Saccharomyces cerevisiae S288C: one gene and its partners. The protein of the gene in region 2 purifies or fractionates together with the protein of the main gene of each other region. This does not show direct contact. Each region holds a gene or a part of one and is shown on either strand. Other genes may lie near its edges.

What was found.
Region 1: the proteins of MRD1 (region 2) and UTP9 purify together in Saccharomyces cerevisiae (affinity purification with mass spectrometry; 2 studies listed by BioGRID). This does not show direct contact.
Region 3: the proteins of MRD1 (region 2) and NOP9 purify together in Saccharomyces cerevisiae (affinity purification with mass spectrometry; 3 studies listed by BioGRID). This does not show direct contact.

Annotation. Positions count from the first base shown.
Region 1 is NC_001140.6:490,001-494,158, reverse strand, and holds UTP9 (Utp9p), read right to left. Parts: upstream 2,229-4,158; coding exon 501-2,228; downstream 1-500. Other genes in the region: RIX1 (Rix1p), read right to left, coding at 1-263; NVJ1 (Nvj1p), read right to left, coding at 2,447-3,412; MDM31 (Mdm31p), read right to left, coding at 3,763-4,158. UniProt on the Saccharomyces cerevisiae protein: Involved in nucleolar processing of pre-18S ribosomal RNA. Required for optimal pre-ribosomal RNA transcription by RNA polymerase I together with a subset of U3 proteins required for transcription (t-UTPs).
Region 2 is NC_001148.4:741,883-753,640, reverse strand, and holds MRD1 (RNA-binding ribosome biosynthesis protein MRD1), read left to right. Parts: upstream 1-1,721; coding exon 1,722-4,385; downstream 4,386-11,758. Other genes in the region: ALE2 (Ale2p), read right to left, coding at 1-340; PIS1 (CDP-diacylglycerol--inositol 3-phosphatidyltransferase), read right to left, coding at 722-1,384; serine/threonine-protein kinase DBF20, read right to left, coding at 4,641-6,335; DNA-directed RNA polymerase core subunit RPC40, read left to right, coding at 6,806-7,813; GLD1 (Gld1p), read right to left, coding at 8,068-8,952; proteasome regulatory particle lid subunit RPN7, read right to left, coding at 9,898-11,187; cleavage polyadenylation factor RNA-binding subunit YTH1, read left to right, coding at 11,577-11,758. UniProt on the Saccharomyces cerevisiae protein: Involved in pre-rRNA processing. Required for maintaining steady-state levels of 40S ribosomal subunit. Required for the initial processing of pre-rRNA at the A0 to A2 sites, leading to the processing of the 23S pre-rRNA intermediate to the 18S rRNA.
Region 3 is NC_001142.9:412,928-424,224, forward strand, and holds NOP9 (RNA-binding RNA processing protein NOP9), read right to left. Parts: upstream 6,636-11,297; coding exon 4,635-6,635; downstream 1-4,634. Other genes in the region: VTC4 (Vtc4p), read right to left, coding at 1-472; DNA-directed RNA polymerase III subunit RPC17, read right to left, coding at 1,358-1,843; chaperonin-containing T-complex subunit CCT8, read right to left, coding at 7,030-8,736; YJL007C (uncharacterized protein), read right to left, coding at 9,771-10,085; CTK2 (Ctk2p), read right to left, coding at 10,211-11,182. UniProt on the Saccharomyces cerevisiae protein: RNA-binding nucleolar protein required for pre-rRNA processing. Component of the 90S pre-ribosome involved in production of 18S rRNA and assembly of small ribosomal subunit. Component of the pre-40S ribosome required for release from the nucleolus.

The DNA of each region.
Region 1 (4,158 bases), on a different chromosome or scaffold from region 2:
TGACCTCCATGAGTCGATAAGACCAGTGGATTATAGGCGCAAGTCACAACAGAGGTGTGACATCCTTTCCAAAGATCAAAGTCATTGCCTGATCTGATAAGTTTTAGGATTTTTGTAACAAGGAAGCTCAATTCGGATTTTAGCAGCTGTTCATTGATATAAACTGGTGATCTTAAAGTCGCCAAAATGGTATGAAACTCATTACCCTTGGCAATTTCCAGGTTTCTAGCCAAAGTAGAAACTGCGATAAATTCCTCTGACATGCTCAAATTTTGTCTATACTTAGTTTGATAACTGGAAAACCACAAAAATTGAATAGTAGTATTGCATCTATTTTTTACTACATTTTATTATAGTTTAATATTGAAAAATTTTCTTGCGATGACCCGTCTCAAATGATGAAGACAACGTAATCTTTTGAAAATTAATAGCTGCATCAATCAGTGCTTCTCATGTGAAACTTTTCTTTGTATATACTTAAATATATTTAAAATGCTTGATCAATCTTTGTATTCCGATGCGTCGACAAATTCGTCACTTTCTCCATTTGCATAAACAATTGAATCTGGTTCAAGCTTTTCAACAGGCGATGCTTGATCCTGCAAAGGATTACTAATTACATTTGAATGCTCTATAACTTCTATTTCATCATCTTCACCCTCTTGCATAGATAGTTGTGCAAGATCCTCTCTCAATTTTGCTTGCCTCCTCAACATTTCTAATCTACCTTGTATACCGAGTAGAACAGGCAAGATCTCCTCTGAAGATCTTAATGCAGATTTTAAATGCTTGCAATTTTTCTTTGTATGTTTATCCTTTATAGAATTTAACTCCCCACTTTTCAAAGTCAGCAACCACTTAAGCCACAACGGAAGTAAATTTTCTTCATTCCATGGATTTTGTGTTATTGACTTTGATATAGTCAAAAATATCTTACTTAGATGATCTACTGTATTGATCTTGGTTAAGATGAATTTTTTAATCTCTGGTTCTGTCCAACTTCCAGACATCAGATCATCCAATATTTCTGTTGAATTAGCTTCTAAATGCGATGAGAGAATATTAGCAATTTCAACTTGATCTGATTTACTAACTTTCTTGTTTATCTTAGTTTCAGTCTCCTTCTTCTCATGTTGAACTTCAGGCTGAGCTTCTTCTTCTTTCTCTTCTAATTTCTTTTGGTCCGCTTCATCAGCATTATTTTTTTCATTTTTGTTTATTGTAATATACCCCTGAGTTTCAATTTCTTTTAAAGAAATAGATTCAAAGTTGGGTTCATTGACATTTAGCCATGAAATTAGAACCTGTTGCTTGCTGTTTATTGGCGTGAAATCTATAATTTCCAAATCTTCATTTACAACTATAGAACAAACTTTGTCGGCTTCGCCAATCTTATAATTATTAATTTTACCATCAGTAGTCAAAGCCATTATCAAATCATCTAAAGTTTTCAATGTCTTCACTTGGACAGGCCATGATTGGATCAGCTTTGAATCTTCCTTCAAGTCGTAAGCTATTAATTCTTCGTTGTTGGCAATTAACAGATACTTACCGTCTGAAGAAAATTCACATGCTACAGCGTCTGATATTTCAAAACTATACTTAGTAGAGGGTCTTCTCTTTGATGGATCAACAATATAAACCATCTGTTTAGTAATAATGCATACCAATAAAGTGCCATTTTGGTGCAAAATTTGGAAATGAACTATTTCGTCATCTTTACCATCAACTAGCGTAAAAGTCTTTAGAGGTTTCGAATTGTTATACTGTAATTTCTTAACGACTTTATCACTATCCAAAATCCATATATCAGACTCGTCTGTGTCTGCTCCCAAAATCTCTTTTTTATTCTTGATGATATTAACTATATCCTTACCATTAGAAGAGTAAACAACAATTCTTCCGTCAGGAAATCCGTTAACGAAAAAGTTTTCACATCTTTGCTCACTTGATTCACCAGTTCCTTCATCTTCATCTAATTTTCTTTTGATATTGGATGACTGCGTATCTATCAAATCACTACACCACCCAAAGAAGATTACATCTGAAACCTTCATATCGTTTGTCTCATAGTCAATATGACTCACTAATGAACTATTGACCACATAATCCTTAGTTTCATTTAATGGATAAATATCCACATTGTTCTTTTGTGCGACGCTTGCTTGGAATGCAAAACGAGTGGAATCATGCGAGAAGCTCGCCACCAAATCCAAAGAGGAGCCCATTGTGCACTACGGTATGTATATACGTGGAGAATGCCCGGCGTTATATATTGCAACGGAGTACTAATATGTATTTCAACTACATAAAGTTACTTGAAAACTCCATCTCATCGTTAAATTTTTCAAAATTTTTCATGTTTTCTTCTCACCTTTAGAAGAAAAAAATTTTCGCACCTCGTTGTAAGTGACGATGATAACCGAGATGACGGAAATATAGTACATTAGTATCTAAATGGTTGAGAGTATGCTTGTTCAGTGTTCACTTGTGCATCTAGATTACTAGATTTTGTGGGAGATACTTGTATATGCAACAATGATGAAGGCTGGTTTAACGACTTAAGGTCTATCGAGCCCTTGAATGATATGGGGAATGATGTACTTGATTTAAGGGAAGAGGTTGTTCTGGTATCCCGTGAGAGAGAGTCAGGCTCTGCAGTACTTTCCTTTCGGCATTTACTCTGCGACTCAACTTCTGAACTGGAGCTGCAATCCTTTTCCCGGTTATTATCATCCTCACCGTCTGCTTCTCCATTCGGTTCATTTTTGTCTTCTTCCAATTGCTTTTCCAGGTGACAACCTAACAAATCTTCACTCCCTACTTGGTTTAGTGCATTTTCGCTCTTGCTTGTCAAATGGCTGTTACTGTGTTCCTCTTTGGAGGTAAACTCATGTTCCCCTTCCAAAACGTTCATGTCCTTATAGCTTAATATAATAGGTTCGGATCTATTTTTACCAAATTGCAATACTGCTCTTTCACCATCGTTGTAATGCTTCAGCCTCCTTTCGTTTTCAATAAGATCTACATTACAATCGTTATCCTTATCTTCTAGCGTGGTCTCGCGATCACCGTCCAGTACAGTCCACGCGATAGGTAGTAGAAAGGATAGGAGTAGTATAAGAACGTATATTCGTGTGTCCAATTCGCTGGATTGTCTGGAAATGAAATTAAATACTTTACGCCAGCTCAGTTCACCAGCGTCGGGTTGTTCCGCAGTTAAAGCCTCACGCTTATTATCTACCAAGTTTTTCAACCTATCTATAGTGAAAATTAACTCATAGTCCACTTTCTGGGGCTCTATCCATCCCTGTCTTTCCAAATGCTTACGAACTGTTTTTTCAACACCTTTCAAAACGGCTACAGAAAGACCTAACGAAAAGATTCCACGAACCAATGGGGGACGAGTCATGCTTATTATATTTTACAATTATATTTGTAGCTTTTTTGATATTATGCACACACGCAAACGCAACAGTTGTTGGTTCCAATTTTTGTTTGGTTTAATTCCTTCTCTTCCCACACACTCTCTCACTCACAAAAATCTGGACAGAAGAAGCCTCACCTTTTTGTTTTGCAGCTCCTCTTCCCCTTCTCTCCTTCATAAGGGGGTGGGTCCTGATATTTTTCGTCTATTTTTTTTCAAATAGGATTTTCCGCAGTGTAGAAAGAAGAAAGATGCGTCACAAATTAGATAAACTGATAGAAAGAACGATGCTATGTAAATGCATATGTACAGAAAGTGACAGGAGTAGGTATTCCTCACGCGATAGCACCGAGACTCATCAAAATCACCTGGAGTATAAGTTGCAGTGACCAAAAGCCCACCCTTCTCAAGCGTAATGTCCTCTTTTCATCGTCAGCGACGTAGTCGGCGAAGGCATCGTACGCTTCCGCACTTAGATCCCGCATAAGGTATGAATCATATATGGTCCAGGAGCCCTCAAAATCAGACTTTTTCTTTACAATGCGGCATTTGATTGGGATGTATGTCCTGTGAGAATTGATGTACCCGACAATAGGCCTTATCAATGCACTATTGATATACGTTAAGCCAGAAGTGAACAGAGGGACTTCGGCTTTGACATTGTATAGTCTTAAAGAAAAGTCCATAATAAAGTAGTCGTTCGGGTCAATTTCATCAACGGCCGGGGAGAA
Region 2 (11,758 bases):
GGACCACTATGCTTTGCAGTAGGGATATTAAGTGGACTGAACTTTGATTGATCAAAGAAGTGTACTTCTTTTTGTAATGTTGAGCTTGACGTTCCGAAGTTGTCTTCTCATCTTTCTTGACGTTATGTTTTTGGTCATAGTCCAATTTCCATTTAACCAAATGTGGGAATAAGATCCATTTGCCAAAAAGAAACCAAATATGGTAGAATATAGCAACATAAAAAATTGAGTGCAAGTTGGAGAGAATCGCTTCCGACTTGATTATATTGCGATTTGCCAAGAACGGAATCACCGTGGTCTTAAATAATTCCGGTTGAGGAAGCGACAATAAAACATCCATTTTTTCTTGTAGGCAATGTTCACCTTCGTGCTTGAATTCCTTCCGGGGGGGGGGGCAGAAGCTTGAGATAGAGGAGAGGTCTTCTTCTTTTTCTTTTTGATCTGTCCAACAAACGTTTTTTCTCTCTCCTTGGCTTATGTTAAATATGCCCTCGGGAACTGCTCGAAAAAAACAGGAAAAAAACCGCGTTGAGAAAAAGTACCAACAATATGAAATTTTTCGTTTATTTGAGCATTTGTTGTGCCAAGTATAATCAAGACGATAGAGTAGGCTGCTTTTAAAGTTAAATCAACGAATGTTCCATTTCACATAAATAAAAACTACACATAAATAAAAGATTAGCGCAATTAAAAGGAGAAAAAAAGTAAGAAACTCATCCTATCAGTAAGTCTTGTTCTTCTCGTTGGCATTCTTGGCATCGTTGTCTGCTAAAATCAAGGCTGCCCTTTTTAGCTGGACAACGTTTGCGGTCTGCTTGAACACGTAACCAGGGAAACTTATGATTGTAGTCCATTTACCAAAGGTTGCAGAATTTGAGAACAACTGCAAGTACAATCCAGCATAAAATAGTTCGTTAAACGCACAGATAGTGAACAGTACGTCTCTTCTCGTGTAGTACAGGTGTAACAATCTGGACTCACCCTCGCCCACACTTTTATGAGAAGTCTTACCAGCACTTAAACTGGCATACATATGCATGTAGTGACTAGTAATATCCAAGCCCAGCATTAATTGGAAGAAAACGCACCATTGGGGATACTGCACACAAAGGAAACACATCAAGCCAGCGGTACTGGATCTGTCGGTAACCATGTCCAGAACGGCACCCAGACTGGAAACCTGATTGTACTTTCTTGCCATGGTTCCGTCTAGCGCATCCAGTAGACATGATGTACTATACAACCATGTAAAGGCCGTAGGATGATTCTTCATAACGAAAAAAGAAAGGGCGGCGGTGATAACACGAACATAACCGATCTTATTGGGAATATACCACAGAACGTGTTCTGCAGTAACCTTTTCTGGTGTTGAATTCGAACTCATCTTGTACTATCACACTTTCCCTCTTATTTACATTACTTGAAGGCTCCACAGTGACGGCAAATAAACCATACCACCTCTCATGTTTTTTATGTTTTACTTATATACTAAAAGTGAAAAATCCTCGAGACGGAAAAAACAATAGGAGGGGCTTTCCCTATTGAGAAATAATTTCCGTAATAGGGATTTACGTGCGGAGCGACGTGAATTTTATAAAATGAAAAAATTTTATGGAAATTTAGAGCTCATCTCATCTCATCTCATCGGTACTTCATATGCAAAGACTGCAACCTGAACTGAGATTTAATTTGAGCCTCAAGCACAAGATAACATAACTAACATGTCCCGTATCATTGTCAAGGGTTTGCCCGTCTATCTAACAGATGATAATCTCAGGGAGCATTTTACAAAAAGATTACGTCAAAAACATTCCCATCAAGCAGTTAATGGTAGTGGTCCAGACCTCATAACAGATGTTAAAATTCTTAGAGATAGGAACGGAGAAAGTAGAAGATTTGGATTTATCGGATACCGTAACGAGGAAGACGCTTTTGATGCTGTAGAGTATTTCAATGGCAGTTTTATCAACACTTCTAAGATAGAAGTGTCCATGGCTAAAAGCTTTGCAGACCCAAGAGTCCCGCAGCCCATGAAGGAGAAGAGAAGAGAAGCTCTGAAAAGGTTTAGGGAAAAGGAAGAAAAATTGCTACAAGAAGAAAATCGAAAGAAAAAGAAAGTGGATGAAAATAAGCACAGCAACATTGATGACGAGATTCGCAAGAACAAGCAATTACAAGAGTTCATGGAGACTATGAAGCCAAGCTCACAAGTCACATCATGGGAAAAAGTTGGCATTGACAAGAGCATAGAGGACGAAAAACTAAAACGGGAAGAAGAGGACTCCAGCGTGCAAGGGAATTCTCTATTGGCTCATGCATTAGCCTTAAAGGAAGAGAATAATAAAGACGAAGCACCAAATTTGGTCATTGAGAATGAAAGTGACGATGAATATTCGGCTCTCAACAGAAACAGGGATGAAGATCAAGAAGATGCCGGAGAGGAAGAAAAGATGATAAGTATTAGCAATTTGAAGGATACTGATATAGGTTTAGTTAATGATGACGCTAATAGTGATGAAAAAGAGAATGAAAAGAGGAGAAACCTCGCCCAAGATGAAAAGGTTTCTGACCTAGATTGGTTCAAACAACGCCGTGTAAGAATCAAAGAAAGTGAAGCGGAAACAAGGGAAAAATCATCATCATACGCTACTGAACAAAATGAAAGTCTCGATACCAAGAAGGAAGAACAACCAGAACGTGCTGTGCCGCAAAAGACGGACGAAGAACTGGCTATTGAAAAAATTAACCAAACTGGCCGTTTATTCTTACGTAATATCTTGTATACCTCCAAAGAAGAAGATTTCAGGAAACTATTTAGTCCATTTGGAGAGTTAGAGGAGGTTCATGTGGCTTTGGATACCAGGACTGGTCAATCCAAAGGATTTGCATACGTTCTATTTAAGGATTCTAAGAATGCAGTGAACGCCTATGTTGAATTGGATAAACAGATTTTTCAAGGAAGACTATTGCATATTCTTCCTGGTGAAGAAAAAAAAAGCCATAGATTAGATGAGTTTGATTTAAAGAATATGCCATTGAAAAAGCAAAAGGAATTGAAAAGGAAGGCAGCTGCATCCAGACAAACATTTTCTTGGAACTCCTTGTATATGAACCAAGATGCTGTTTTGGGTAGTGTGGCAGCCAAATTGGGTCTAGAAAAATCTCAATTGATCGATGCTGAAAACTCAAGTTCGGCTGTCAAACAAGCTTTGGCTGAAGCCCATGTTATTGGTGATGTTAGAAAATACTTTGAATCCAAAGGTGTTGATCTGACCAAGTTTTCACAGTTAAAATCTACAAATCAAAGAGACGATAAAGTGATACTGGTTAAAAATTTTCCTTTTGGGACAACTAGAGAAGAGCTTGGCGAAATGTTTTTGCCATATGGTAAATTGGAAAGATTGCTCATGCCACCAGCTGGTACAATAGCTATAGTGCAATTCAGGGACACAACGTCAGCAAGGGCAGCTTTCACTAAACTATCGTATAAAAGATTTAAGGACGGCATAATATATCTAGAAAGGGGGCCTAAGGATTGCTTTACTAAACCAGCTGAGGCCGATGATTTGATAAATAACACTTCTGCAAAAGAAGAAGAAAACCCGGTAGAGGTAAAACCTTCATCAAATGACTTAATGGAAGCAAACAAGGATGTAACTGAAGGGTCATCTAATGCTCATGATGAAGACGTTATTGATGGTCCAACTGTCTCAATTTTCATAAAGAATCTAAACTTCTCCACGACGAACCAAAATCTTACTGATAGGTTCAAGGTTTTCACTGGTTTTGTTGTTGCCCAAGTGAAGACAAAACCTGATCCAAAACATCAAGGCAAGACCTTGTCAATGGGGTTTGGTTTTGTAGAATTCAGGACCAAGGAACAAGCTAATGCCGTGATAGCTGCAATGGATGGGACGGTAATCGACGGCCATAAGATTCAATTGAAGTTATCCCATAGACAAGCATCTCAGAGCGGTAATACAAAGACTAAATCCAATAAGAAAAGCGGTAAAATCATTGTTAAGAATCTTCCATTTGAAGCTACTAGGAAAGACGTTTTCGAATTATTCAATTCTTTTGGTCAATTAAAATCTGTTAGAGTTCCAAAGAAGTTCGACAAGTCTGCAAGAGGTTTTGCGTTCGTGGAATTTTTACTTCCAAAGGAAGCAGAAAATGCTATGGATCAGTTGCACGGTGTCCATTTACTGGGCCGCAGATTGGTAATGCAATATGCAGAAGAAGATGCAGTTGACGCTGAAGAAGAGATAGCCAGGATGACAAAGAAGGTTAGAAAGCAAGTTGCCACTAATGAGATGGCTGCCTTAAGAAATGGGGGCGGTAGAAAGAAACTGGATGTGGATGATGAAGAAAACGAAGGTTTCTAGTTTACCCTATCAGCTTATCGTATTTTTCTTTCATAATTTACATTTTATTTGAATATATAAATCATATTACTACTTTAATAGCATAAAACTCTTCAAAACATCTCATCCCGAAAAAGATTACTAAACTTAAAAATTACATGTTGCCTTGGTTTCATAATTTTGGTAATCATTCAAAATGGAAAATGTTAGCACATCTTGTTGCTGTTGTCAATGTATCTGTTATGCTATACAAAATTAAATTGTAGGGACGTAATCTTAATAAAAAGTTGAAAAAGGGTCTGAATGTTCTGAACCATTGTAAAGTATCCCGCTTGAACCTTGTTTTCCATCTCTATGCCTAAAAGTAAATCCAACAAGCTTGGAATCAACGGCAGAGTCATCGACCATTGCAGATAATTTGTTCTGTCTTTTGAAGACATCTGCATATTTAGCCATATCTTCTTCATTTGTGAAGTCATCGAAATAACCTGCATCCGTTTCATCATCTAATTGAGGAATAAATGGTGGAGAACTTGTTCTTAGGGTTTCAAAATTGATCTCTGCGAAATAAGACATTTTGCGAACTTGCTCAAAAGATCGTACTCTGTTGATGGGGTCAGCTATTAGTCTTGTAATTAAATCCCAGGTTCTATCTGAGAATGCTGCTCTTCTATCCTCAGTACGGGGCCTTCTTAAAGTTTTTTTCCAATATCTTAAATTCTCGTAAGTTTCATTAGTAGAAGAACCACTAAAAGGTGTATATCCAACCAAACTTTCAAAAAGCATACAGCCTAATGACCAATAATCCACTGTAAAATCGTATTTTTTACCTTCCAGAACTTCTAGGGCCATATAATCAGGCGAACCGACCATAGAGTTAGCGTAATTAATTTCTGTCTTCCTCATGTTATGATATATTTTCCTTCTATCCTCGATAGACCTTTCTGTGAAAGCAGGAAATTCCAAATTCTTTACTTCTTCTAAGCGTATTTTCATGCTTTCGATTCTTTCATTTGATACGGTCCCTGCTGCTAGACCAAAATCGGTCAGCTTGATATGCCCTGTAGCATCAATCAAGAAATTCTCCGGCTTTAAATCCCGGTGAGTGTAACCAAGTTCATGCAACGCGTTCACGGCACAAAACATTTCGCTGATATAGAACCTTGCGTGACCGCTCTTCAATATCCTTGTATTTATTAACAATGTGCGAAAATCACCACCAGGTACAAATTCCATTGCTAAATATAGGCTCTCTGGATCCTGAAATGCATAAAGCAACTTCACAAGCCAGTCAGATCTAGTTGTGGTTAGTATGTCCCTCTCAGTAAGGACGTGATTCGTCTCGTTTAGTTTGAATAAAAGTTTCTTGTTTAATATTTTCAAAGCACAAATTTCATCACTGTCTTTTTTTTTTGCAAGATAAACTTGCCCATAACCACCCTGTCCAACTTGTGTCAGTATCTGAAAATCCTTGTGCTTAGGTTTCAACCTCCTTTTTCTCAGTACTTCGTGTTCTCTTTGCAAATACAAAGCCCATTCTTCATTTAAAACCTTATTAGAAACGTTTTTGACACTTCTTTGCTGTTCAAGATATCTTAGCACCTGCTTCGTACGTTGTCTTCTGCTAATAACATAATCAAACATGTCACAGTAATAGTCGAGAAAGTAAAGTTGGCATACATTAACAACTCTCTGGGTTTTACTTTGGGAAGCACGCTCGTGAAAATCCTTGGGTAGCTTCTTCGGTGAGTGATTCAATGAAATGCGATTTTTGAAGGTATCTTGATCATCTGAATCACACGGCTTATATGATCTTGGAAGTCCGGGAGTTAATCTTCCATTTTCGCTCTTTCTAGCAGGCCTATATTGCGCCTGTGGAGAAGTAGGTTTAGGAATATTCAAATCATAGAACCCTAAATGACTCATATTACCAGCCAAATCATCTACCTCTCGATCACTTCGTGAAAACATGACTACCGAATTATTGTTGAATACGATATTCTGGGTTGCTAATCACTATTGGAGTTACAAGTTTGTTGCGACAATACAGTTCATCATGATCTGTGATCTAGCCGACTACAGGTCCATTGATTTGTGTTTACTCTCAAAATCTTGTATGAGGTGTATGGGTTAATTATCCATTCAAAGACAAAAATTTATGATCTTGGTGTTTGTATATAAAAATTAGTCAGAAGACATGCTTATTCTTGATTTTATATTAATTAGAAAGAGATGTTGCATTATCCCATACTTGTCGTTTGTCTTCTGCTACAATACATTGTGCTTTATGTTGCAAATATTTATTAATTCCGTTTATAGTGACTTGGATTCACAAAAATTTTGTGAAAAAATTATTGCGATGAGTTGAAAGAAAAAATTTCACTCATATTATGTAGAAGAGCAGGTATCAAGTGCATGAAAGTAAGTAGGTGAAAGAAGATATGTCAAATATTGTGGGTATTGAATATAACCGTGTAACGAATACAACCTCCACGGATTTTCCTGGTTTCTCGAAGGATGCAGAAAACGAGTGGAATGTGGAAAAATTCAAAAAGGACTTCGAAGTCAATATTTCGTCATTAGACGCAAGAGAGGCAAATTTCGACTTGATAAACATTGACACATCGATTGCGAATGCCTTTCGTCGTATAATGATTTCCGAGGTTCCATCCGTGGCTGCTGAATACGTCTATTTTTTTAACAATACATCCGTTATCCAAGATGAGGTTTTGGCTCATAGAATAGGCTTGGTTCCATTAAAAGTTGACCCTGATATGCTCACATGGGTTGATAGTAATTTGCCGGACGATGAAAAGTTTACGGATGAAAATACTATCGTTTTGAGTTTGAACGTGAAGTGCACAAGAAATCCAGATGCTCCAAAGGGATCTACTGATCCAAAGGAACTATATAACAATGCCCATGTCTACGCCCGTGATTTGAAGTTTGAACCACAGGGCAGACAATCTACCACTTTTGCTGATTGTCCGGTTGTTCCAGCTGATCCTGATATTTTATTAGCTAAGCTAAGGCCTGGTCAAGAAATTTCGTTGAAGGCACATTGCATTTTAGGTATCGGTGGTGATCATGCTAAATTTTCACCAGTTTCCACCGCTTCTTATAGATTATTACCTCAAATCAATATCTTACAGCCAATCAAAGGTGAAAGTGCCAGAAGATTTCAAAAATGTTTTCCCCCAGGTGTTATTGGTATTGATGAAGGTTCAGATGAAGCGTATGTCAAAGATGCTAGGAAGGATACGGTTTCCAGGGAGGTTTTAAGATACGAAGAGTTTGCTGATAAAGTTAAATTAGGAAGAGTGAGGAACCACTTTATTTTCAACGTAGAAAGCGCTGGTGCCATGACACCAGAAGAAATTTTTTTCAAATCCGTCAGGATTTTAAAGAATAAGGCTGAGTATTTGAAAAACTGTCCAATTACCCAATGATCCTACTTTGCATACTAATAAAAAAAACACAGTTTGAGAAAAATATTAAATACTTAACCTCAGGGTCTTTATCTTTGTATAATCTTTTCTTCTAGTATTAGTAGAATTGGCAAATCCTACCAAAAAAATACAAACCCATGAATCGTCATAGATAAGGAAATGTAATAGAATGATATATGTAAATGTAACTCTCTATAAAATAGTGCCGATAACAGTAATATGCATTACCCCTTATGGACTACATATATATACTATTAGACAGAATTGCTAGCATTCTCATTGTTGTCATTAATATTGCCGTCATTTAAAATGGCATTCATGGTTTTATTTAATGGTATTCGTGCAACTATTACAGAGCCATCGTAGCCATCACTATTTACAGGTTCTAGTCTTTCTGGCTCTTCAAAATCTAAATCTGCCAATACAACACATGTTAGTGAAAATAAAGTAAACTGTACAATAAGTATGCTAAATTCGAACATTACTAATCCAAGATTGCCGGAAAAGTTGCTCTTTGGTAGCCGTTCTCCGATCATCTGTAGAAAAAGCCCACCTCTTCTCTCACCCAAAAGTAGACCATCTGAATTGGAAAAGGGTGAGGGAGTATTCTTAGGGCCATCGTCTACTGGCTCGCTACCACTCAGGGGTTCAAAAAAATCAATTGGGAATAGGATTGTTAAGATAATGAAAAGCATATTCAACGATAAGCAACCATGAAATAAAAACTTCCGGATTTGCTTTTTCATGGACACAATAGCGGTATCATCATGGTCTTGTTGCTCAGCTTCACTAGAAGAATTATAAAGCATTTCTGTTCCAAACATTCCGGGAAACCTGATAGATCTTCCGCCTGGAAGTGTTGCAACCCCCGTCGTGTTATTATCTGCACCGAGGGTCGCTAGCCTACGTAACTTGGCATCACTTGGAAAAGGAGAACTTATGAGAGATTGCACTATTGCTCTTGTTATAAGTGTCCAGACGGTACGATCATACTTGATATATTCCAATGATATTAAAACATACCCGAGAAAGCTCAAATTATTCACCAAATTTCTTTGGAAGTTTCTTTTTCGTAGTTCGTATACTCGTTTGTTTCCTATACTTAAATTTCCTTCAGCAGTACTTTCAAAATTATCCATTATTATATTGGCCTTATTGAAAACATAGATTAGTTTGCTTTTGGCCTGCTAATGGATGACAAATAGCGTGCTTAGTATTTTTAGGCTTCCGCAGTTTAGCTTTATTTGATGATACGTCAAGAGTGCGGGATAATGTAGGTTCAAAAGGATCAAATTGTGTTTCGTTATATATGATTTCCTTGCAATAACTATAGAGAAGGAGAACAATATAACCTTGTGCATGAAAGCATCATAGTCTTAAAGAAAAAATTTAAACTAAAATGCAGAATCAATTCTCATGGATTTTTTATATAAAAAGAAGCTAAATAAGTGTTAACTTTAGGGAAAAAATTTTGCCACCTGTCAGAATTGAACTAACGACCTTTGCATTACAAGTGCAACGCTCTACCACTAAGCTAAGGAGGCTTTTACACTGTAGGGTATCCTCCAAGAAGGGACAAAGTGTCTGCATGGAAATTTGCAGCCGACTTCTCTTAATGTCTGTAACACTTAAACTATCATGGAGTGATTTCATTTCAACGATATCCCTAAAAGCGAACCAGAAGTGTTTTAGTTGAATCGTTTATTGGCTAGAACACTCGAATACAACGTATTAAACAAATGAAGAAACAATGACCGTATCATGAATTTCCTTTTATGGGGATTCCTTTTTCTGGTTATACTACTTTTTAAGAATTGGCATTTTCAGCCTTAGATTCCTCACTTTCAAAAGAAGCATGGTCCTTTATGAGACATTGCAATTATGTAACTTTCCGAACTAAATACTGAAATTTTTAATGGAAGCTTGAAAACTATAGAAGCTCTCCGTTTTAAAGGAGAAAGAGGATGATTACAATCCTTTGACTTGAACCGATCCATATATCCTCTCACTACTATTTACTCAAGTCTCCAAACTATGTATACATGTTGATGTGATTATGTGCGTTGCTAAATAATGTAAATTCCTCAAACACGATCTGACCCTGTCAATCTCACTGCTGCACCGTATTTTTGTAATTTTGTTAGCAAACCGTCACCTTGCTTAACTAGCAGATGGTATTGAGCATTTTTGTTGTCTGGCCTGTTGGTCTCTACGATCCCATTAACTCTATCAATGACACAATTTAGTTGCTTATTTGGAATAAACTTACCCAGGTCGTTATCCAAGAACGCAACCGAAACACCAAATGCGCTTGCCATAGATTTCAGCGACAAAGTCTTATATGATTCCAACAATTGTGCGTAGACTTTTCTTCTCATTTCTCTAACAAAGAAATCTGCATGTCTATTCAAATATTTACATGGAATCAAAACATTTGCATATGTTTCCAAAAGATATGGAAAGTAACTGGCATAATCGGACGCGTAAAGGGAAATTGTTAACGACGAGATAGATTGTAGTGCGGCAGTTGTTGAGATTAAAGATAACAATTCAGGTGAATCGATGACTTTGGATTTTAGGTCTGTTCTTTCCAGAGTGAATAAACCTGTGACCGATGCATATGTGGCAATGCTTTCATAGGAAGTTAATTCAATAGAGGTGAAAGTTGCTAGAGAATCGACCAATAACTTTGCCGCTTCCTTAAAGTTTCTTACGGCCAAGCAGTGGATACCATAGTATGTTTTATATCTATTTCTTCTCTCCCAGTCACCACCTTTTTCAATCATAGAATTGACTGCTTCCAACTTCTCCTTAACATAAAGTTGGTCGTTATAAAAGAACCCCAGCCTTGCAATTGTTAGCATAACATCAATTTTGGCGCCTGTGGAAATAGCCTTCGATAATGATTTCCCTAGCGTCTTTTCAGCATTATCTTTGTCACCGATTTGTGCATAATATTCACCCAGATTAATCCAGGCTTGAGCTTGTTCTAGTTCACCTTCATCATCTTCTTCCAATTTTTGGATCTTTTCATTTAACTCTTTAATCTTACTTTCATTTTTTTTGCACAATTCATTGTATAGCTCCTGGTCAAATTTGATCCATTCGTTTAAAGAATCTGACTTTTCATCGTGTTCCAAGTCAGATTGGCCATTATTAACAAGGTATTCCTCGCAAAGATATTTATAATAAGGGGCCATTTCTTCCTCTTTAATTTTGGCTAAAACGAACTCTGCCGCTTCCTTACGCTGTTCAATACTAACCTTTGATTGTGTCAAAAGAAACGCCTTTTCAGATACCTCATAATTGGGCACCCTATTCACCGTTGGATCAACATATTCAACTTCTTGACTTTTCTCTTCCACGTCTACCATTTTGCCGTGTTTATCCAGAATTTTTGCGTGTATTAGTAACTATTGTAACAGTGGTAAAAAGCGCAGTTTACTACAACAATAGAGATTTGTGTAGTGTTAACAATTAGGTTTTTCAATGCTGCCTTGTGTATATTAATCCTCAATGGGTGGCAAACTTAACTTATTCGGAAACTTGATTGAGCATGCATTTACGCGCCGTCGGTTATGATATGGGGAAAACAAGTGTTATTACAATAGTCCACTATAACTTTTAATAATTATATAGAATGCACTGTACTTTGTTGTTCCAATCGCTTCAAAATATCACATTTCTGAATTATAAGCTAAAGATTTCTGCACTGTATCTTAAACAAGTATTCTAGGACGAATAAAATCAATAAGTTTATGTAATGAGCCTAATTCACCCCGATACAGCAAAATATCCTTTTAAATTTGAACCTTTCCTCAGGCAAGAGTATTCGTTTTCACTCGATCCTGACAGACCTATTTGTGAATTTTACAATTCTAGAGAAGGCCCTAAATCATGTCCGAGGGGACCGTTATGTCCAAAAAAGCATGTGTTACCAATATT
Region 3 (11,297 bases), on a different chromosome or scaffold from region 2:
CCTTGAAAAATGGTTTAGAGTCTAATCTAACTTGGAAAACTGGTTTCAAGATAAAACCTGTCTTCTTATCGTGTTTCTTGATAATCTTTTGGAAACCAGTGTAGTTTAGTCTCGAAAACTTTGCTAGATCATGAACATCGGCAATGATATCACTTAGTTCTTCTTCTAGAATCTCAAAATCTAGCTGAGTAGGAGGATTATTGGAGTCTAACAAACGAACAGTATGTTGCACTTGTTCTTGAACCTCTTTTACACGTCTAAAAACTTCACTATGCTTAACTTTGCAAAATGTGTAAACCTTGTCTAACTCGATCTCCAAAGATTCTAAAAAATCTGTTTCCAATTCTTGCGTCCACTGACCGTTATTCTTAGATAAGTTATCTTCTAGCTCAGTCTTCAGATCATCATAACTAATATAATAGTAGCTGTACTGTCTAATAAGAGACTTGCTCAAGTGCTCACCAAACTTCATAGCTGTTCCTGCCTTGTTATGCTCTTTTATTGGCCGATTTGATTGTTAGCCTGTAACTTCTTTCTGATTGCCTCAATATATAAAGATAGTATTGCTTCTTTTTCATTCACGTGTGCAGCCACGTGCGGATGAATAATAAAAATGCAACATATATGCATAGTGCGGTGTGTGAAAAAGTGAACCTACAAGTCAGTAGCTCTCCGTCAAAACGCAGACAAACCAATTTTTTGTCGGTGTTTTCCTGTGCAATTCCAGTAAGTAACATATTAATACAATTTCCTATGATGGGTTACGTGGAAAGCAGAGAGGCAATTGCGTGATTAATTCGGAATATTAGCAACGCTTCTCTTAGTATGAAAAAGCTCTTCGAAAGACTATATTTTTGAAAGCTTTAATATGTTTATAAGTTAAATATTGTCGAACTTGTTTGCGACAGCTCTTGAAGTCACGGTGCGTCTTTTTTTACTCGTCAACTGGTATAACAATGCGTATGACAATTATTATATAACTATTACTTTATTCTTGCCATGAAGGGATTACTGTAACGCCCTCAACTAGTATACCCTTTTAAGCCTCGACAAAAATACAGAATAAACAAAAGTTAAATCTCACCGAAGTTGCTTGTGGTACTGGCTTTACAGACGTTTATAACGCAGCACTAAATTTCCAAATAATAACCTTCCTCCAATGGAAATAAAAAAAATCGAGACTAACCCAAAGTGTGCGCAATAAACTCTAAAAAATAAAGTATATTCTTGTAAATATTTCTATATGCTTAAGTTCAATAATACATGCATACTCATTGAACATGTTATATTGTTACACAACAAAGTAATTTCTGTTTTTCGGAAGTGCCAGTCCAAATCAATTCAAAGCACTGTACACTCATGCGTAGCCAGAGATGATCTCTAGCATTTCCTCAATTGTTTTTTCGTCAAATCTTGCATCACACTCCTCCACTATGGAGTAAAGGTGGACCATATTGGCAGGAAGTTGATTGACAATCTGCAGTTTTTCAGCCTTGAATAATTTAAAAGAATTCAGTTTAGTCATCAACTCAGCAAAGCTTTCATCGCTCATTTTGCTTATACCCGATTTTTCAGCATCTTTTGCACCACTGCTTTCTCGTTCCTCGCCTTCATCTTCCTGGTTGATAAAGTTTTTGTTTATACTGAGATAGTTAACCACATTGCGAGTAATACCTTGCAATTCAGGATGATTGTAGGGCCTATTCTGCTTACCTTTCGAGCGACTTTTCTTCAGCGCAGCCAAACTTTTTTGGTCCCAAAGATGTTTTTTTTCTAGATCTGTTAGGAACTTCAAGACTTCATAGTCACTTAAAAATGCATTCCTTTCCTCAAGAACTTTCATAACGTTTAAAGTTTTTTGTTTAAGTGTCGATTTTTTCAGTGGTGGGTGTTGGATTCACTCAACTTCTCTTCTACTGTGGCTGTTATTTGCTTAACTTTCATAGATCGATGGCATTGAAAAAAATAATTTTTCAGGCAATTTTCCTTTTTTTACTTGGTATAATTTTCAGGAATTGAAGGATTTTTCAACGAATTAGCCTTGTTGGCGCAATCGGTAGCGCGTATGACTCTTAATCATAAGGTTAGGGGTTCGAGCCCCCTACAGGGCTAATATTTTTTTCTTGCCCACTTATTCAAGGAATAAGTGCTAATTATCTTTCAACCTTGCAGCGAAGCTTTCTTTTGTATTTCATCTCATAGAAGGTGAAATATCACACTATTTTGTAAATAGAAATAGTATATGTAGTTCGTGGAGAACCAGACTGCAGACTATCAATAAAAGGTTACATTCTGTTCAACTCATGTGACCAGAAGTTTGATTAAGCAAAATTGTTCTTCTCCTTAACATATGATATTATCTGAAGGAATCTAGAAAAGCTTGATCATTCCGCAGAATAACCTATCAAAATGATTGGGAGGACCATTTTATAATTCATGCTACATATATAACATTATACAGTAAACCCTTTTAATGTAATGGATTGCTCATAGTTGTGTACACGAACTGTTTGCTAATAAGCTTGTTTTAGCTTCTATTGCTAAAGAAATTACTGACGAAGAGTTTATGACAAGGAAAGATGAACGAAAGTACAATTTACCGGTTAGTGTCAGCGCCAAAGGATCCACGCACTAGCAAAATAATGAAAATTGTGCCGGATATTCAAGACTAAGAGATGTACAAGTTGAAATATAAGTAACCCTCGGCATAAACTACTCTGTCGTAAGATCATTAACATGTCGATTTGCCTGTGACATTTAACGATTCACAAATAGCGGAATTAAATGATACTTTATCTATCCTAAAACGCACGAAGCATACTTTAGAATGCATGCTCTTAGTAAGTATGCATTGCCGACTTCTCTGTAAGACTTTTATCTCGTTTCAGACCTAATCTGCAACAAGAGAAAGGGAAGAGGACGGTATTGTTACGACGTTATTGGCGGCTAGGAAAGAGAGAATCACCATGAACGATATGGTGCAAAAAAAATAAAAAAATAAATTGAAACGGACAGGAATTGAACCTGCAACCCTTCGATTGCAATCTTATTCCGTGGAATTTCCAAGATTTAATTGGAGTCGAAAGCTCTACCATTGAGCCACCGCTTCAACTTTTGTTGAAAATTTAGGCTAACATTTTCTAATAGGTGACATTACAAAATCCAGTCTTACAGTTATGCTTAATATTGACCAGTAGTCATATTACTGGCATATTATCTGTTAGAATAGTGACATACTATTCTTTATTACTGATGAATTTGTAATTGTGAAGCAATTAGACGCAAACGTCATTGATGTGTCAGGATGGAGAACGATATAGACTATGTGATAATGTAAAGTTAAATATCTGTTACTTGAACAATTAACTTGACGTTTGTATATGTAAGGATATGGGTCATTACATAGAAACTATAGTAAATAGTCTCAGTATTGTTATATTTGTCATGTTTGATATGACTAATCGGCGCATGTTTTACACCTCTTTTGTATAGTATAAGAAGATCTGCTTTTATTCTTGAACCCTACCACTATCTCGCCAAGTTTTTAAAAGATCCACTGCGATCATTGAAGATTCTATTTCAAATAAAAATCAACTATTACCTATCATCTAGCATTCATATTACTTGTATATTATCATATCTGTAAGAAGATGACATGAATGATGAGAAATAGTCATCAGACTTAATAAAAGCCGAAATTCAAGGTCGATAATGTAATAGGATAGGGTGTTGAATGACAATGTATAAAAGGAACGAAGACAGAGTAATACTATTATGTAAGAAATACCGATTCCCTTGTGAGTATATAAACATAACCATTTCATTAAAATAATTTATTCAATGGTATGTATGATATTATAATAACATACTTATACTTGTCTCACTCTGTTCATAAACGCAACAATACAATTACTTTTGAATATTATCTTTAATAAATACACTTAGTAGTTACCAATAAATAATAAAATCCTTTACTAATACTAATATAAGGATTTCTATGTTCTCGAGGAGAACTCGTAGTATGTTCTGTATCCCTAATATTGTAGCCCTTAACAACAATGGAATACGAACAATTTTCTTAATATTCGGCTATTTCTGAAATATACATATTCACGGGATACTAGGAGGTCAGCATGTTACAAATTTCATGATAGTGCATCAAGAGACCCTAAAATTAATATCCTTTATGTGCGTATTGCTTTCATGGTAGTAAATTATCACTGTTTTCATCTAGACGTGGGACGGTAACATTTTCGATAAATATCAAAAGATGGCAGTCATTGTATAGAATACCACAATTTGTGAGCATCTCTGAGGTTTTTTACAAGCTTCCGTAACTCATACAGACTTCTATCGTCCTACTCTAGTATTATTTACCTATTCATAACCACTTTTTTATCCTTCTATTTAAATTTATAGATGCAAAGGGCGGAAAGAATTGACTGGAAAGTAAACTAAATATAAAAAATATCGCCAACTTATTCATACAATATCGTAGCAACTGACAACTTTTAAAAATCTGCAAAATTCTTTGTAGTGTTCCTTAATAATGTTTAAGCTAAGGTTTTTTATTAAGAGGAAAATATTGCATAATTCTATAATTTACATCAGTACAGTAGTAACATATTATCCAATTATCTATAGTGCTTTTGCTTTTTGAAGGCGCTTCCTTCCTTCGAATTATTTCTTTCTCTTGAGTGCTTTTCTGGCTTTGGCTGTAGCGGTTTAGAATTTGGAAATATTTCAAATTCTTGCTCCTTAATTAGTTTTTTCCAATCCCACATTTTTCTAACATATAATTCCAGTTTCCAATTCTTCCACACTTGCCTGCCATAAATACTATTCTTCACCTTCTCAGTTTCTAAAACTAATGCTCTAGCAATACGCTCCTTATATAATGTTAATTTTGCCGTAAATTCCCACAATTTGTCCATTATATGAGAGCCATATACATTGCATGCCAAATTTACAGACTCTTTAGACAGTATGTTCAATAGCATTTTTCTCTTAATTATGTCCACCCTAGTAGTTTGTAGTACGTGCTCAACAACATGCGAAAATACTCCATGGTAACACATTTGTATCAACCTTTCCTCAGGCAGAGCCAACATGCTGTCAATGGTAATATTCAAAAACTTGTCGTCGTAGTCAATTAATTGTTCCAAGAAAACTGATCGTCTTCTTTCTTCTGCTGTTGGCCAGTCATCTCTGGTATTGCCCAAAGTCGATGCACTCAACAACAGGCAACTTTCCAAAATATTCTTTGCATCAGACTTTTCTGGATAATATTTTTGTATTAATTGAGCAATGACATCATCCCTTAAGTAACCACCTTGTTTATTGCTTGCGTTGATAATAGCAGTACCAAAATCCATATTTGAGTTTAAAAGCATGCTTAATTCAGGAACTACTGCATCCAATATCTGTTTTACGTCCTTCTCCTTCAAATGTTCCAGCAATGCACGCACTACAAAGGCACCTGTAGTATCCCTTTTTGCTAGTTTCACAATACGGTCTTTCATATATAAACGATAAAGTCTTTCAACATATTTTAGCCTGGCAGAGCCAATCACATTTTCTAAGAAATGAGAACCGACAGGATCTGACAGTAAATATTCCAGGAATGATTCCTCCTTAGGATCCTTCTCATCTGCTGTATTGAAGACCAATCTCCAAAATGAACGGTCCCTGTCAAAAATACCTTCGACTTGAATAATGAGCTGAATTACAGGGGAAGCCACTTTATCCACACTGTACTCTCTAAATTTGGTGATAGTAGATTGCGAAATATCAGAACGCGACTCGGCACCATTAGTAAATCCTTTGTATAAAGTAGTTATTATGTCACGAAGTTCAGATTTGAAAGATTCCGGTGTTTGGTAAACTTTATTGAAATCGTCATTATCTTTAATGTCAATCATTTTTCTTGCAATTTTTGACTTTTTGGAACGTAAAGTAGAGTTCGCTTTAGTTGAATTAGGCAATGTCTTGGAAGACAAAATTAATATTAGCAATCTCAAAACATGTGATGCATACTGATGGTTCATCATAGTTTTCAAGTGCGGTTTCAGTTCATTCAACATAAAGAGAAACATATTTTCCATAGTCACATAAGGCCCTTCTTTTTCATTGTTATCAAAACTTGGTGTTAAAAGTTCTCTTTCTACCAAGGCGGCACTTCTAACAAATAAAGTCTCTAAAACATGGGAAGCATATTTATGACATGACAACCCGAAGAAAACGCCATTGAAAGATTGGAAAATGTCTTTTAACTGAGTCTCATCACATTCAAGAATAACTCGTTCCATCAATTTCGAAGTTATTTGGGAAGTAACCAATTTCAGTTCTTTACCTTTTGCTTCCTCAATAATGCTCGTGACGAATTGAAACTTTTCCTCAGGTGCTTCGAAGGCGTCTAATTGCAAAGTCGATTCGGCTTGCTTGAAATACTCCAGTTCTTCTCTATCTAGCACACCAAAAAACATTTGTGGCTGAGTCTCTTTAATTTCGGCTTCGTCATTGTAAGTAGACTCTTCTTGCTGGATGTGCTCCTTCGCAGAATTTGAACTGGGTTCAAATTCGTCCTTTCTCTGTTTGTCTTGGTGTCTTCTGCCTCTTGTTTTAGTCTTTCCCATAATAACAATAATGTGGTTTTTCCGTGAAGGTTTCAGCGTCGTTCACAGTATACTAGTTGTAACAGATCGCAGCTCATCTAATATAATTTTCTTCATTATATTGTAGATGAGCATGAAAATTCTCGCTAACCGAAAAAAAATTGAAAAAAAAAAAAGTATTACAATCATCGAACAAATATACAGGCCAAGAGTTCGTCGGTTTTGCAGGTTGCTTCTTGGTTAATGTATACAGTACATCTGCATTATCAAAAATTCAAACATTATATATATCTTTACTACTATACAGGTACACATGATACAGCCTAGCAAGTTTGAAAACTTGATTGCAATTTATGACATTATATTCTGCTGTTTGCAGGTATATCTACTTTGTAAGTATAAAGATGCAAACAAATCAGTCTTCTTGGTCCCAGTTACCTGGCCTTGGGCCTTGAGGTGCTCTTGGACCACCCGCCTTCTTTGCCATGATAATTTGGTCAATGGAAAGCACAGTAGTTGCAGCTTCTGTAGCGACGTTAATAGCAAACTTTTTCGTTGCAAGCATGTCATAAATATTTTCCTCTCTGATGTCCTTTACACCTTCATCAGATTCGCCATCAATATCCACACCTTTATATAAATGATCTGTCTTAACTGCACCAGGTTCAGTTACGTTATGTGCAGCGTATAAGTTTGGTAGTACCTCATTAACATCAAGACCAGCGGTCTCCGCTAGGGTACGAGGAACCACTTCAAAAGCCACGGCAAACTGTTTTATAGCTAACTGTAGCAATCCAGGTGTTCGTTCACCATACTTAGTTATCCTAGAAATCAATTCAATTTCGGTAGCACCAGCACCAGGCAACAACTTACCGCCTGATGGCTTCATTAGTCCCTTGACGGCTGCAACACCATCATCAATGGCTCTTTCAATATCATCCAAATTATTCTGTGTGGCACCTCTTAAAATGATAGTAGATGTTCTTGAAATTTCACCTTGCTCTTGTTTGAACACAGTTACTCTATCACCACCTATCTCCATTGTCTTAACAGTTTCCACTAAACCTAATTCTTCTGGAGTTGGCGCACCTAATCTAGGCAATGGAGTGGCCCCACAAACGCGACATAATCTTCTTAATTCGAATTTGCTTGGTACCTTCAAGACTAGTATACCGTATCTATTCAAATAATGTAACGCCAATTCACCAACACCAGCACCTGCAACAATGCATTCTACGCCCATGTCGGCAATCTCTTTCATCATGGCATCTATTTGCTTTTCCTCGCCCTTAGAAAAATCGAGCATTTCTTGTGCATTATGTAATAAAACAGTGCCTTTCGTTTCAGTATTGGCTATGTCAAGCGGACAAGTGAAAACTGCAACTTTATGCTTTTTATCTTCGGATAATGATTTTACATGGCCTTCAGGCTCACGATTGAAAACCATACCTTTGATGACGGTAGAATTGGAAAGCGATCCACCCATAATCTTTACTACTCTGATAGAATCAACATTAAAATAAGGAATTTCTCCAGCTTGCTGAGCAACTGGTAAAACGTGAGATACAGCTTCAGAAACAAGTTCACTCAATATGTCTTCAGATCCGTACTTTTTGGAGGAGATGACTGGTTTAATCATTTTCAAAAGTTCGTTTTTATCATTCTTGTCAGTAATTTCACCAACAACCATTTCGTCTAGTTCTTTCAAAGTAAACTTCCTTGCCATATTATAACCTTGAATAATCTCAACGGCAGACAAGCCCATTGAAATCAGTTTTTCGGACACATTTAATAGTTCGCCAGCCAAAATCATGACTAAATTTGTACCGTCTCCCATGTCGATCTTCTGTTGTTCAGTCGCCATTACGAGGACTTTCACTGCAGGATGGACAATATCTAGTTCTCTTAGCATGGTGGCCGCGTCGTTGGTAATAATGATTTTACCGAGATGGTTAACAATGATCTTGTTTCTACCACAGGGTCCCATAGAAGTCAAACACATTTGATGTAATTCGCGAATGGCCGCAATTGATTTAATAATTTGGCCATCGGCGTTAGAGTAACTATTGTAGCCTTGTTTAAACAATCCCGCGTTGGGATTTTGTGGCAATCTAAGTGACATGGTTAATTGATGATTTTATTGCCCTTGAGGTTCAAGTTGTCTTGTCGGTATCTGTAAAGTGAGAACATCATCATGCTATACTATTTTCTTCACTTTTTTTTGCCACTAGCGGAGGTGATGAACATTTTCGAATACCGTTAATAATGACAAAAACACCATTAACTTGGCTTATATAAAATAAGCTATTGAAATAGTAAATGTGCTCGCAACTCTTTAATTATCTAAATCCGGCAGCTTCTTTATTGATTAATAATACAAAATGTTCGGACAAGTGATCATTAGATATCAACATGAATTCAATTGGTAACAATTTCGATGCTTACATTTTATGCTAGTATACACCACGCATATGTCTGTCAATGTACCTATTACAGAAGGAAATGTTCAAGAAGCAGTTCAGACAGTACCGAAGCAGAATTAAAAATCCATTATTTGAATATGATCTGATAGTCATATATATGAGCAATACAGGTCTTCACATTAAATGTATGAGAACTGCCGGAACCACTATTACATTGGTCACAATTAGGAATGAACCAATCGGCGTGTGTTTTATATCCCCCTTATATAAGTCTAAGAAGATCGATATTCAATCTTCATTAATAAAGCTTTTTGACCTCTACCTATGAGCAATAAACCATATCCATCAATAGTGGTCAAGCCGTAAGAATGTTTTTACCGAGAATAGAAGTAAACTTTTCTTATTGTATATAAGAAAAGCATATAAACACGCGCCCAGAGAACATATTCAGTATGCCCTAGCTTGGAAACACATCAGTAAAATACTACGCGCCTAGTATAATGACTTCTATATCCAAAATTTTTAAGTTAACCTTTCAAGTAAAAGATCTTTGCCTTATACTACTGTCTGAACAACTCGTATAAATTAATGTATGATATGAACATTCCCATTGTTACGATAGATGTCCTAATGAGGATCAACTATAATCTATCGAATAGTATTCATATTACTAATATATTATCATGTACGATGTACCAAGATGGCATGAAGATTGAGAAAACAGTCATCAGATTTAATAGATGCTGAAATGCCAGGACTGATAGTGTAACAGAATAATGAATGATATCATATAAATTGGGGAAACAATAATGACAATATTATGTGAAAATATCAATTCTCTTTTGTGGATTACAAGATCCCCTGGAGAACTTCTAGTATGTCCTGTATACCCGGTGCTATATCCTTTAATAACCATGGAATCCGCAAATATTTGATGTAAAGTTTGTTTTTCTTCCCCAACATCCTTTGTATGCTTCAGTAGCTCAGTAGGAAGAGCGTCAGTCTCATAATCTGAAGGTCGAGAGTTCGAACCTCCCCTGGAGCACATTTTCTTTTTTTGTGAATTAAACCTCGAAGCTCAACATTCATGTTTTGAGATAAAAAAAGGTACTTATTACTTGTGTAAAAGAAAGTTTATAATGATGATCTTATTTAAGTTTATAGTAGGACTTTCTATGCATGTCTTGTAGAACTATTTATGCTGGACTCGCCATTAATTAGCTCCAGTGAAAGTACATATCTTCTTTCTTGGACATTATTATCTCTAGTAATAGTGATATAAGGATCGGCATTCAACAGGTGATCTGGTATTTGCGGCAATCCAGATTCTGGTCCTGCGTTTTTTTTCAGTTCCATAAACCTTTCAACGCCAATCGGCAGCAAATCAGCCGGTAAATGACGTTGTAGATCGCACATATCGAATGAATTGATGTAAAAATTGACTATATCAAAATAAGCTTCATTTACGGATTTCTCGTCTGTTTCAAATAAAGAATACCTTTTACTTGACCAATTCTTATTATCTAGTAATTCATATGCTATTTTCAAAATGGCCAATGCAATGGAATGTTGGGGTATGACTAAAATAGTTTCTAGCTTCAAAGCATCATAAGCAATTACCCAAGCCAGATTGCACAACTTATAATCAAAGGATAGCTCCCTACCAATTTTTATAACATATTCATCAATATGAACGTAATTGTTGACTCTATAATCGAATGAGCATGACTCTAATATCCGAAGTTCTATTTGAAATACCCTTTTTTTAAAATTTTCCAAAATGTCCGTATTGATTTTAACCACATTCCTCAATCGTAATGACAAAGTACATATATCATTTGTTTTTTTAATTGTCTCAACTTCTTTACAGCCCAAAGTCAGGCAGCTTGTCGCTACAGTGTAGCAAACCTCGGTCTCGAAGCGATTAAAGAGGTGGTATCTTTGGTAAAAGTATACTGCTGTTTCTAAAGTCTTCCGTGGAAATTTCAGCTGAACACACAAGTCACTTAGAAATTTGAACACGGCAAGTTTTTTCTGGTTGTAATTTCGATAGTCCGATATTGTATTCTTTTGGGCTCTTTGAATTTGCCTTTTAGACAGAAACGGTCTCGAAAAAAAAAGCTGGGATTCAAACGTGCTAGGCATATCAAAGTACGTAATTTTCTTAGTTTTGCTGGCTCTATATCTCCTCTCGCTCTATAGATACAGATATATATATATATATATATATATCTATGTGTATAAAGACGGCTTTCAGGAC